3 linked regions of the Oryctolagus cuniculus genome follow. Each later gene encodes a partner of the first gene's protein in a complex. Links are inferred from orthologs where the notes say so. Each region holds a gene or a part of one and is shown in the gene's direction. Other genes may lie near its edges.

Region 1 (3,744 bases):
GTTTAAGTCAGGAGCTGGAGCCAGGAATAAAATGCAGGGACTCGGGTATGGGATGTGGGCGACGCGACGGCTTAGCGTCTGCCCCTGGACCCTCCCGGTGCGTTTCAACCTTCCCCAGACCCAGCATCTACACAATGTGCAGTGTGAGCTAAAAATTCCCCTCAACCCCAGGGCCACCCAGGACGAAGTGGGAACGGGCTTCTAGAATGATGTAAATTAGTAACAGTAGTAGGATACGGATACGCTACAGAGTACGGACTATGGAATAGCACAGGTGGCAGCATAACACTGCTTCCTAGCGTGAACTACTATGCACAGTGAAGCTTCCACAGTCTCAAGGCGTCTCCTCCGTGGACAGTGTTTCCTCGTGGGTAGTGTGAAGGGCTCGCCACACTCACTGAACCCCCTTGGCCGACTGACAGTTCCTCTATGGCTGCAGGCCACGGCCCGATCTCTCACCCGCGGACACTAGGGCCTGCGACAGGTCAGATGCATTTTCTTCAGCACTGGTACAAATCTCGGGCAGACACAGCCCTGGGAGCCCATCACGGACGAAGAGAAACCTCGCGACCGGTGCACCAGGCTGCGGGCAGCCCAGGTCCAGGGCAAGTCCAGTGCGCACCGCACGCACGGGTGCCCTGTGGACGTGTAGACCCCGTGCGTGGGCAGCACGGATCTACTACTAACAGGACATATCCCTCCCCTCCGTATCCACAGTGTGACACTCCCACCCCCGGCTTAAAAAAATCTCCTTCCTCGCGGGTGTAAACACCCACCAAGTGTCGCTCTCCACGGAGGGCCGTGGGAAGTCAGTCCTCTATCTCGGACCCGAGAGGGCGGTCGGCAAACTGCGCCGTCCCGAAAGTCAAAGTCTTGGAGAAGGTGACTTGGCCCCAGGGTCCCCCAGCCCCAGGCCGCACGCGCTGCGGCGCGCGCCACCCCACTAGTGCGCGTCCTCTCCCCTCCCGGTGGCAACAGAGCTTTCCGCGGGGCCGCGCCAGACTTTTCGAGACCCTTGATTGGTCGTGGACCAGGCCGCCGACAGCCAATCAAGCGGGGGAAAGGTGACATCACTGGTTCTCCTCCCCTCCCCCCACCGCAAACTTCCCTACTCTGCTACCGGCAGCAACAACCACGTGGGGGAGGGGTAAGAGAGTAGAACCGGTGAGGTCATTGCGCCGCCCCAGCCACTGCTGATTGGCTGCGGGGTTCGAGGGTGGCGGTTGGTTGCTCCTCGCACCTCCCCCTCGTGCCGCTACCGCCGCCGCCGAGAGGAGCCACTGGCGACGCCAGAGCCAGGAATCCGGGTGAGTTGGGGCCCTGGGTCTAAGATGCTCTTGGTGTCCAGTAACACTCAGTAGGAACTGCCCTTTCCGACTTTTTCTCCTCGCCTGGGCTCTTTGGTGCTCCAGGCACTCTGTCACATGGGAGTTGTAGTCTGCCTAGTATTGTCGACTATGGGCCAGAGACGTGAGAAGACTACGATTCCCAGCAGGAATTGCGACCAGCCGGTCAACAAACGCTCGGGCCACGCCTTCTGAGCCTGCTCATTGGAGGGATCTTTGCTTATCCCCGCCTTCCTTTATTTCATTGGCTACTGTCCCTCTCAGGGGCCGGGTTCCGGCCTATGGAGCATGACGACTGGGTACTGTATTCGTCGTTTACCACTAAGACAGTCTGCAATTGGTCTACGCTGATGTCCATCACTTGTTGTGGGGCAGGGCCCTAGGCAGATCAGGCGGTCGTAGGCTCAGGTTGGTGTCGGTCCGGAGGGAGGCTGGTCTTGGATTTTGGCCCCTCCCCTTAGCGCTGCCCGTTGGGCGCGATTGGTTGCTGTGAACGTCGCTCGTCGCCGAGAGGCGGAGTCAGTCAGGTTGCGAAAATCTATTGGCCTAGGCTGGCGCCGGTCAGCGGGGTTGTGGCCGCTGATTGGCTGGTTACTCCAGCTGTTGCAGGTCCATTCACCATTTTGTGTGTTGGAGTAAAAAAAAAAGGGAGAATCGAGAGGGAGAGCCGGAGGGGGGGCGGGGAGGGACCGGACCGGACCGAGCCGGGGCCAGGGCCCCCGGCCCCGAAACCCCGCTGAGCCCGAGGTGAGGGGCGGGGCCAGGGCTGACACAGCAGGGGGTTGAGGGGGGCTGGGGGCCGAGGGGGGACAGGTGGCAGGGACTGGGAGGAGGGACAGGGGGAAAGGGGTGAGCGGAATGGTGGGAAGGGGAGAAGGAGTGGAGGAAGTGGAGGGGGGAGGGTGATGGCAAAGGTGACTGGGGGACGGGGTGGTGGGCAGAGGACAGGTAACAGGAGTGGAGGGGTGACAGGACTAGATAAGGGTGACAGGGAGAGGGAGGGGACAGAGTTGGAGGGGGTGACAAGGAGAGGTGATGGGGGGAGAAGGTGACAGGTCCAGAGATGGCTGACAGGAGAGTGACTGAGAGTACTAGGAGACAGAGATAAATGGGGGTGGCAAGCAGAGGTGAGAGAGGAGGGGGCCTAGGGTCTGTGAGGAGAGAGGTGGAGGTAGAGGTGGTGACAGGATGAGAGACAGAGTGGCAGAGAGGCTGGTTCCAGTAGGGCTGGTGGGAGCAGAGGGCACAAGACCCCAGAGGGCCAGGGCCTGGGCTGGCCTGGGCTTGAAGAGGGACTGCTGAGATCCTGAGGGAGGTGAGGGCCCACGGGGCCTTGGGGCTGGGGGCGTCCTCCAGAGAGAGGTGGGCAGAGAGTAGGCCCCAGGGGAAGCAAAGAGGCTTGGCTTCTGAGGTGAGTTGGCTGGACCAGGCAGCAGGGTGCAGGGGTGCCCTGCAGTGTGGCTGTAGGCCCTGGGTGGGGTATGCAAAGGTTTGTGTTTGGGTAGGACTGGGGCCAGATCTCAGTCCCCCGGATGGTGACCCGGCAGCTCGGGGAGGCACTGATGGCTGCCCAACTCCCAGGGCACTCGGGGGGCAGCGTGGGGCCCTCCAGGCTCTGTCTGTGAGGGCCACGGGACTGGCCCAGAGAAGGGGCAGGCCTGGGACTGCAGGGTCCACGAGAACAGCAGGACCTGAGTGGAGGGCCTGAAGTTAGGGTCCCCGGAGAGCCCCAAGACAGAGTCGGGGTGCCTCTGGTCGTGTTGGATCCTGGTCCTAGCCCCCCGCCCCTCCTGGGGGCCCCGTCTTTGCCTCCCAGGTTCTCTTAGTCACTTCACAGTGAAGTTTTTTCCCCTTTTCTCAGGGCAACTTGAAAGGGGGCGGGCAGTAATGACTGTTCAGGAAGTGGGTGAGGTTGGCTGGCTGGGCTTGTCCTGCTTCCTTTGACCTTATCCCACTTATCCCCACCTGGAGTTGGAGGGCTTATGTGGGGGCCTGAGGGGGCTGGGACACTCAGCCACCCTGCCAGAGACAGCCCAGCCAGGGCGGGATACATGCAGGCCAGGAACGGGAGGCGGGGGAGAAGGGGGGGCTGGGCTTGCTGCTGTCGGGCTGGGTGCTGTGGGGGAGGGGCGGGCTCCCATCCAGGGGGACCGAGGAGCCCTGGGGTGCAGCTCTGTGTCCCGCTGTGTGATGACGTGTGTGCCAGTGTGTGTGTGTTTGTGCGCGTGCGTGCACTCATGCATGCCCCGTGGCAGTGCTGGGTGTGAGCTCTTGCACCAGACGTGCCCCTGCCTGCTCTCTGCCAGGATCTGGGGACAGGGTTGTACCTGGCAGGCCCGGGGTGCAGGGCAGAGTGGGCAGCCGTCTCTGAGGACTCTGAGCCTGGCCTCCCTTTACC
Region 2 (3,644 bases), on another chromosome or scaffold:
TTCAGTGGACATTTTCACTATTGTATAGAGCCGATGCTTATTTGGATTTACCCACATAGCTCCCGTTTCCTTGCTCTTCATTTCTCCCTGCATCTACAAACCTCTCTCTAGATTCTTTGTGGGTTTTTTTTTTTTTCCTTCTGAAAGCTTACTCTAGTATTTTCTGTAGAGCAGTTCTGTTGCTGGTGAGTTCCCTTAATTACTGTTTGTCTGAAACGTCTTTATTTTGCCTTCATTCTTGAAGAAGCTTTGTGCTCTGTATAGAATGCTTGATTGGCAACTCTGTTACCTCAGCACTTTAAAGATATTCCATTGTCTTCCGGCTCCCATTATTTTTGTTGACGGAGAGTGTGAATGTAATTGTTACTGATTTGAGGTAATGTCTGTTTGATCTGGAGGCTTTTAAGATTTTTCTTTCCTGTCTCTGGCTTAGAGCAGTTTAACTATAACCTGCTTGGGTGAGGATATTTCCTCACTCTTCTTTCTTGGGGCTAAGTCTTCTTGAGTTTGTGACTTCCCTCTTGTTAGTCTGGGAAAATTCAAGTATTAGTTCTCTTTCCTCCTAGGATTCAAATTGTGCATCTATTAGACCTTCTCAATGTATCTTCTGTCTCTTAGGCTCTCCTCTGAATTAGCCCCCCCCCTTTTTTTGTACCTTTGATTCATTTTTTGTAGTTTCTTCTAAAGCTCTTAATCTAGTTCAGAATCCAATTACAGAACCCAGTTCACTAATTCTTTCTTCAACTGTGTCTATTCAGCTGGAAAATTATCTTGATCTTAGTGAATATAGTGCTTTCATTCTAGAGTGTCCAGAAATATTTTAAAAATAAATTAGACTTGGGGCAGGCATAACGGGTAAAGCCGCTGGCTGCAGTGCCGGCATCCTGTATGGATGCCAGTTCAAGTCCCGGCTGCTCCACTTCCGATCCAGCTCTCTGCTATGGCCTTGGGAAAGCAATGGAAGATGGTCCAAGTTCTTGGTCCCCTGCACCCCCGTGGGAAACCTGGAAGAAGCTCCTGGCTTCAGATTGGCCCAGCTCCAGCCATTGCAGCCATCTGGGGGTGTGAACCAGTAGATGGATAGAAGACCTCTCTCTCTCTTTCTTTCTCTTTCTCTCTCTCTCTCTCTGCCTTTCAAATAAATAAATATATCATTTAAAAAATTAAGATTCTAGTTTTCTCCCCACTCCTCAAGCTTGTGTTTCATCTCCTGAAATATTGTAAGCAGGGTCATTTTTAAGTCTCTGGTGATTACCAGAAGCCCCTGTGGGTCTGTTCTTATGATCAGATGTTTTGTCTTTATTAGTTTTGCTTCTCTCTTGGTCTCCTCATTCTTCCTCCCTTTTCAAAATTGAATGGTAATGTAGTATTTGCAACAGTGTGGAAATAATTCAAGAGCTGAATCCAGTGTTAGAGACTGAGATGATTAAGATTTGACTTCAGACCTTGGAAGGCCTATCCACTTCTGATGCACCCTTACTTTTAAGGCATAGTGTTTGGGATCAGAGGTTAAAAATCGGGGTTCGGGGCCGGTGCTGTGGCACAGTGGGTTAATGTCCTGGCCTGAAGCGCCCGGCATCCCATATAGGCGCCAGTTCTAGTCCCGGTTGCTCCACTTCCAATCCAGCTCTCTGCTGTGGCCTGGGAAAGCAGTGGAGGATGGCCCAAGTGCTTGGGCCCCTGCACCCAAGTTGGAGACCCAGAAGAAGCTCCTGGCTCCTGGCTCCTGGCTTCAGATTGGCGCAGCTCTGGCCATTGTGGGCATCTGGGGAGTGAACCAGTAGATGGAAGACTTTCTCTCTGTCTCTACCTCTCTCTGTAACTCTGTCTTTCAAATAAATAAAATAAATCTTAAAAAAAAAGCGGGGTTCACCAAAGATCACCGTCCCTTGGTGTACCCTGCACTGCATTACACACACACACAAAATGCTATTGAGATTCCCAGAAGCCCACTTAATCTTATAACTGCTCTACTTTGAAATATTCAAAGTTGGCTTGGAACACCACCAGGTTCAAATCTGTGGGCTATCATATCCTTTTCTGGTTTGACACAGTTAAGTTTTTTACTGTCTTATTTCTGTCCAGTGCCTTTAAACAGTGTTTTTTTAATTATTTATTCATTTATTTATTTGCTTGAAAGTTACACAGAGAGAGTGAGAGACAGACAGATCGTCATCTGCTGGTTCACTCCTGAGATGGCTGCAATGGCTGGGGCTGAGCCAGGCTGAAGCCAGGAGCTTCTTCTGGGTCTCCCAAATGGGTGGCAGGGGCCTGAACCCTTGATCCACCCTCCACTGCTTTTTCTAGGCCATTAGCAGGGAGTTGGATCAGAAGTGGAGCAGCTGGGACTCATACTGGCACCAACATGGCATGCTGGCATCAACACCACAACACTGGCCCTGATAAAAATGCTTTTTAACATTTTCTTCAGAATTTTTAATTTTGTTGTTTTTATGGTATTTTTGTTGTTGTTGTTGACAGCTTCCAGTTTTCCTTAGTAGGAAGCTTGTTCCAAAATTGCCTAGTCTAATACATCTCAAACAGCCATTGAAAATTGACTTTTTAAACTACTTCATTGCTCTCTCTCTAAATTTTTTATAATGTTGAATAAATTTAATTTCATGAGAATTAAACTCTTAAAAGCATCGGGTGCCTTTCAGACTTTGGCTATTTTGCAAATACCCATCCCGTACCCTCTCCTTGCCTTTGTTTGTGATACTTAAATGTCTCCTTGTAGCCCCACCTCTGGCATGGAGCAGGATTGGAAGCAGAGCCACCAGCCCACACACTCGTGCTCCTATGAGAGCCCAGCATTGCCACCGGCGGCTGAACCCTGCTGTACCACAATGCTGACCCCCAGCTGACTTGTTTTAACAGAGACCAGGGATAGAGCTAATGCTAAGTGAAGTATTTGGATACTGAATGGACCTTTTCACTGGACCGTTTTCTGCATTGGCTCCTGCCCAGCTTCTCTATGTAGTAAACGCAGATACAACAGGCAGCAAAGGGCCTCATTGTGTTGTGTTGCTAGGGAAGGGAAGTTTGTTAGTGGAGTCTAATTTATTAACATGCAGCCTGTGTGTGTGTGTGTGAGTGGGGGAGGAAGGAAGGAAGGAAGGAAGGAAGGAAGGAAGGAAGGAAGGAAGGAAGGAAGGAAGGAAGGAAGGGAAGGAAGGGAAGGAAGGGAAGGAAGGGAAGGAAGGGAAGGAAGGGAAGGAAGGGAAGGAAGGGAAGGAAGGGAAGGAAGGGAAGGAAGGGAAGGAAGGGAAGGAAGGGAAGGAAGGGAAGGAAGGGAAGGAAGGGAAGGAAGGAAATCATACAGAGCTCTCACTGGTTTCCCTCCTGTCTGCCTCTCTGTCTCTCCCTGTTCCCACAGGTCAGCGTGGAAGTCTTGGTCGAGTATCCTTTTTTTGTGTTTGGACAGGGCTGGTCGTCCTGCTGCCCGGAGAGAACCAGCCAGCTCTTTGATCTGCCGTGTTCCAGACTCTCAGTAGGTGACGTCTGCATCTCGCTCACCCTCAAGAACGCCAAGAATGGCTCTGTTAAAAAGGGCCAGCCCGCAGATGCTGCCAGTGTCCTGCTGAAGCGCTCAAAGACCGACAGCCTGGCGGGCAGCAGACACAGGTACGCCGAGCAGGAGAACG
Region 3 (3,644 bases), on another chromosome or scaffold:
AATCACCTGATTTGATTATGGGAACATCAAAGTTTATTTATAGTAAACTTAAGTCTCCTGGGTTATTAGGAGCTGAGCATAGTACAGATCCTAAGTTTTGTGTATGTGCCTGTTAGTAGATTTGTCAAGTTCTAGGTGGAAGTGTTGCTGAAATTCTGATTGTTTTCCCCAGTGAATTTGTGGTGTTCTTGGTTCTCAGTTCTGCCCCCATCCAGTAACATAGCTGCACAAGTAGATACCAGTGCGACTGAAGCCATAAAGAGGAAACCACTGTACTTGCTCTAACATTTGTGTACAAATTTACTGTTACTGATAGAGAGTTTTTGTTGCCACAAAGGTAAGCAGAGTTGGAAGTGAAAATACTGGCACAGAACTGAGCGTGTAAGTGCCAGCGAGGCAGAGGACGTCTTACTAGGACATTCCTGGCTTGAGGCCGACCTCGGCCCTCTGTCTCGTGGGCACTCTGAGCTCCTGCTTTCAGTCCCTCGGGTGCCATCAGCTGTCTTTCCAGCTGAGCTGACCGCTTCTGCTCTGTGTAGTCCCTCCTTAGATGCCCACAGCAAGAGCCACTTACTGTGGGAGTTGTGATTAGATCAACAATGATGCCGTTTCAGAGGAGGGAAAGTGCACAGTCAAGTCATAAAGGGGTTGCTTAATTTCTGCTATGTCATTGTCTTCAAAAAAGCTGGGGTAGATCCACGGCCTTAAATAGAAAACAAACCCTTTCAAAACAAATATAATCAAGTTCATGTTGGTAATGCTTCCTAATTATTTTTTTTTTAATTTATTTATTTGACAGTCATAGTTACAGACAGAGAGAAGGAGAGACAGAGAGAGAGGTGTTTTATCCGCTGGTTCACTCCCCAAATGGCCACAATAGCCTGAGCTGAGCCGATCCGAAGCCAGGAGCCCACAGCCTCTTCTGGGTCTCCCACTCGGGCACAGGAGCCCAAGGACTTGGGTCATCCTCCACTGCCCTCCCAGGCCATTGCAGAGAGCAGGATCAGAAGTGGAGCAGCCAGGACTCGAACCAGCGCCCATATGGGATGCCAGCACTGCAGGTGGTGGCTTTACACTGCGCCACAGCACTGGCCCCTCCTGAGCATTTTTTGAGGGAGGCTACTCAAAGCAGATTTTGCTGTATTATTGGCACTTTATATTGCCTCACCCAGAGCATCGTAATACCCAGAGCGTCTGTTTGCACAAATAATGTCACAAAAATAGAGGGGTTCTTGTGATGGTGATCTTTGTAATGTGATCTAAAAGCTAGGAAAAAGAAAACAGTTTTAATATCATTGATGGAAGAATCTATATACTGTCTGTAAGCTGACTATAAGCAAGCAACACTATGAGCTAGTTTTAAATATCCAAGACAGGATAAATGTTTGTAGCTTGCTACTGTGGTTTCAGAGGAAGATAACAGAAACATCTGGCTCTGCCAGGAGCTAGTAGCATGTTAAAATTACTCATGTGCTGGTCTCTGGCTGTTTTCCAAAGGATCATGCCTTTTATTTTTTTCTCTTCACAGAAACGATAGATAATTCCCAAGGAGCTTACCAAGAGGCATTTGATATAAGCAAGAAAGAGATGCAACCCACACACCCAATCCGCCTGGGGCTGGCTCTGAACTTTTCTGTATTTTACTATGAGATCCTTAATAACCCGGAGCTCGCCTGCACACTGGCTAAAACGGTAAGATGTGTGTTGATTTCTGGGTTTTCACTTGGATGCTCAGGGATGACTGCTTTCTGTTTATTGACCACCTGAAGGAAGCTAGAGATGAGAAGATGGGATGGCTGCCGGGTGTGGTCGTGGGAGTGGCTGTTTAGTGCATCCCTCAAAGCAGGAGAGTGATGAGGGCTTTTGCAAGTACCTGTTAGTTTTTACGGGAACACGTCTGTTCCCCGTTACTGCTGTATGGCCTGTGAAATGGGTGGTGAGTGTTTGGCCTGCTGATTCATCTGGTCTGGCCCTGACAAGGCAACCCCAGCAGGACTTAGTTTGGTGTATCTATAACAAGCTAATTGTTTCCAAGTTGATTATTTTGTATGGCCCACAGATTATGTCACAGAGCCCCTTGCCAGAAAAAGTTCCTCTACCCCTGCTGTAAGAACCAAGTCCCTGCTTATGAAGCCTGTAGCTCTGCAGTCGCGGGTCACGCTCCCGCAAGCTGTGAAAGTGAGAGTCCGGGGGAGTGATCCCACTGAGCTGGGTGTTCGCGGACAGTTCCTGTCCCTGTGCCGTTGTTGACCGTGGGTGTGGTTACTCCTCAGGCTTTTGACGAGGCCATTGCAGAGCTCGACACACTGAATGAAGACTCCTACAAAGACAGCACCCTCATCATGCAGTTGCTTAGAGACAATTTAACAGTGAGTCCTTTACTCTTCTCGTTTCATTTCCTTTCAGGAACAAAGACAGGTACATTTTGCAGAATGTAAGAGAATCTTTCGTATAAATAATTCTGGACCCCTGGTTTGGTAACTTTTTCTTTGACTAAATGGGATTTTTTTGTTTTTTTACATTAGCACTGTGTTCAGCTTCACTGGCCGGGAAGTTACGAAGGCTCTGCCCTCCTGCCCTCCTGTAGTTGTAAAGGCACAGAAGGATGCTGAGTGAGATAGTTTTGTAGAAAAGTAGAGAGAGGCAAAACTAGTTCTGACCAGATAGACTTCGGAGCTCTGGTCTTGTGTTGTTCTGTCTCTGGAGACAGCTCTTCAGGGAGTTTTGTTTGTTTCAGCATCTTAGCAATAACTTAAAGATTATGCAAGCCTTTCTAAAATTGGCAGTAGCATTTTGATGTTGGTCTAATAAAATCCAGCTTTTTAAACTGATTATACGTCAGTAAACATGGGCTACTCCCTTAGCTTTCCACCGTAACATCAGAGATAGCCTTACAGACAGTTGTCTTAGTTTTAACCTCCTAGTTTAAGAGGCCCTCCCCCATTTTTTAAGATTTATTTATTGAGAGGCAGATGTACAGACAGAGGGAGAGACAGAAAGGTCCTTCATCTACTGGGTCACTCCCCAAATGGCCACAACAGCCAGAGCTGACCTGATCCAAAGCCAGGAGCCAGGAGCTTCTTCAGGGTCTCCCACGTGGTGCAGGAACCTAAGCACTCGGGCCGTCTTCCACTGCTTTCCCAGGCCATAGCAGAGACTGGATTGGAAGAGGAGAAGCCGGGACATGAACTGGTGCCCGTATGGGATGCTGGCACCAAAGGCAGATGCTTAACCTGCTACACCACAGCGCCAGCCCCTGAAGAACCCTTTCTAAACACATAGATACATATGCTGTTCCCTAGCTTCTGCCACCCACTCTGTTTAGAGACCTTTTGAGCAACTCAAGGAATATTGTATTGTGTGTGTCATTTTGTAAAATGCATAGTGAAAGGGTATGCTTTCACGCTGTGAGAGGGGCCCCAGTCAAAGTCTCTATGTGAGGAATTTACTGCTCAGAATTATCGTCACAGGACATGGTGTACTTGTCTACATCGTAACGTCATATGGTTCTCTTTCTAGTTATGGACATCAGACAGTGCAGGAGAAGAATGTGATGCAGCAGAAGGGGCGGAAAACTAAATGGATACAGGGCGTCACCCTCCTTCCCTCCAAGAAACCTTTTTACACATCTCCATTCCTTCCTC

Evidence for each region. Proteins that work in one complex are often made in the same cells at the same time.
Region 2: the proteins of CIC (region 1) and ATXN1 are in contact, whole or in part, in an NMR structure (PDB 2M41), measured with the Homo sapiens proteins. The link is inferred for Oryctolagus cuniculus from reciprocal best matches to the Homo sapiens genes CIC and ATXN1. Residues at the interface, in NP_001291744.1 of Homo sapiens: Val943, Phe944, Pro945, Trp946, His947, Ser948, Leu949, Val950, Pro951, Phe952, Leu953, Ala954, Ser956, Gln957; in NP_000323.2 of Homo sapiens: Pro572, Tyr573, Phe574, Ser578, Ile579, Ile580, Gln581, Leu582, Ala583, Leu587, Val590, Leu593, Phe598, Ser601, Ala602, Leu608, Asp611, Ser613, Phe631, Val633, Ala638, Gln639, Val640, Val642, Tyr648, Pro649, Phe650, Phe651, Trp657, Ile683.
Region 3: the proteins of CIC (region 1) and YWHAQ are in contact, whole or in part, in a crystal structure (PDB 6KZG), measured with the Homo sapiens proteins. The link is inferred for Oryctolagus cuniculus from reciprocal best matches to the Homo sapiens genes CIC and YWHAQ. Residues at the interface, in NP_001291744.1 of Homo sapiens: Arg1207, Ser1208, Met1209, Ser1210, Glu1211, Thr1212, Gly1213, Thr1214; in NP_006817.1 of Homo sapiens: Lys49, Arg56, Lys120, Arg127, Tyr128, Gly169, Leu172, Asn173, Val176, Tyr179, Glu180, Leu216, Ile217, Leu220, Asp223, Asn224, Leu227, Trp228.

Annotation. Positions count from the first base shown.
Region 1 is NC_091449.1:12,846,166-12,849,909, forward strand, and holds the start of CIC (protein capicua homolog), read left to right. Parts: upstream 1-1,161; 5' UTR 1,162-1,307; intron 1,308-1,957; exon of another isoform or gene 1,958-2,093; intron 2,094-3,744. UniProt on the Homo sapiens protein: Transcriptional repressor which plays a role in development of the central nervous system (CNS). In concert with ATXN1 and ATXN1L, involved in brain development.
Region 2 is NC_091436.1:143,606,394-143,610,037, reverse strand, and holds part of ATXN1 (ataxin-1), read left to right. Parts: intron 1-3,376; coding exon 3,377-3,644. UniProt on the Homo sapiens protein: Chromatin-binding factor that repress Notch signaling in the absence of Notch intracellular domain by acting as a CBF1 corepressor. Binds to the HEY promoter and might assist, along with NCOR2, RBPJ-mediated repression. Binds RNA in vitro.
Region 3 is NC_091433.1:192,537,527-192,541,170, forward strand, and holds part of YWHAQ (14-3-3 protein theta), read left to right. Parts: intron 1-1,528; coding exon 1,529-1,692; intron 1,693-2,273; coding exon 2,274-2,369; intron 2,370-3,519; coding exon 3,520-3,579; 3' UTR 3,580-3,644. UniProt on the Homo sapiens protein: Adapter protein implicated in the regulation of a large spectrum of both general and specialized signaling pathways. Binds to a large number of partners, usually by recognition of a phosphoserine or phosphothreonine motif.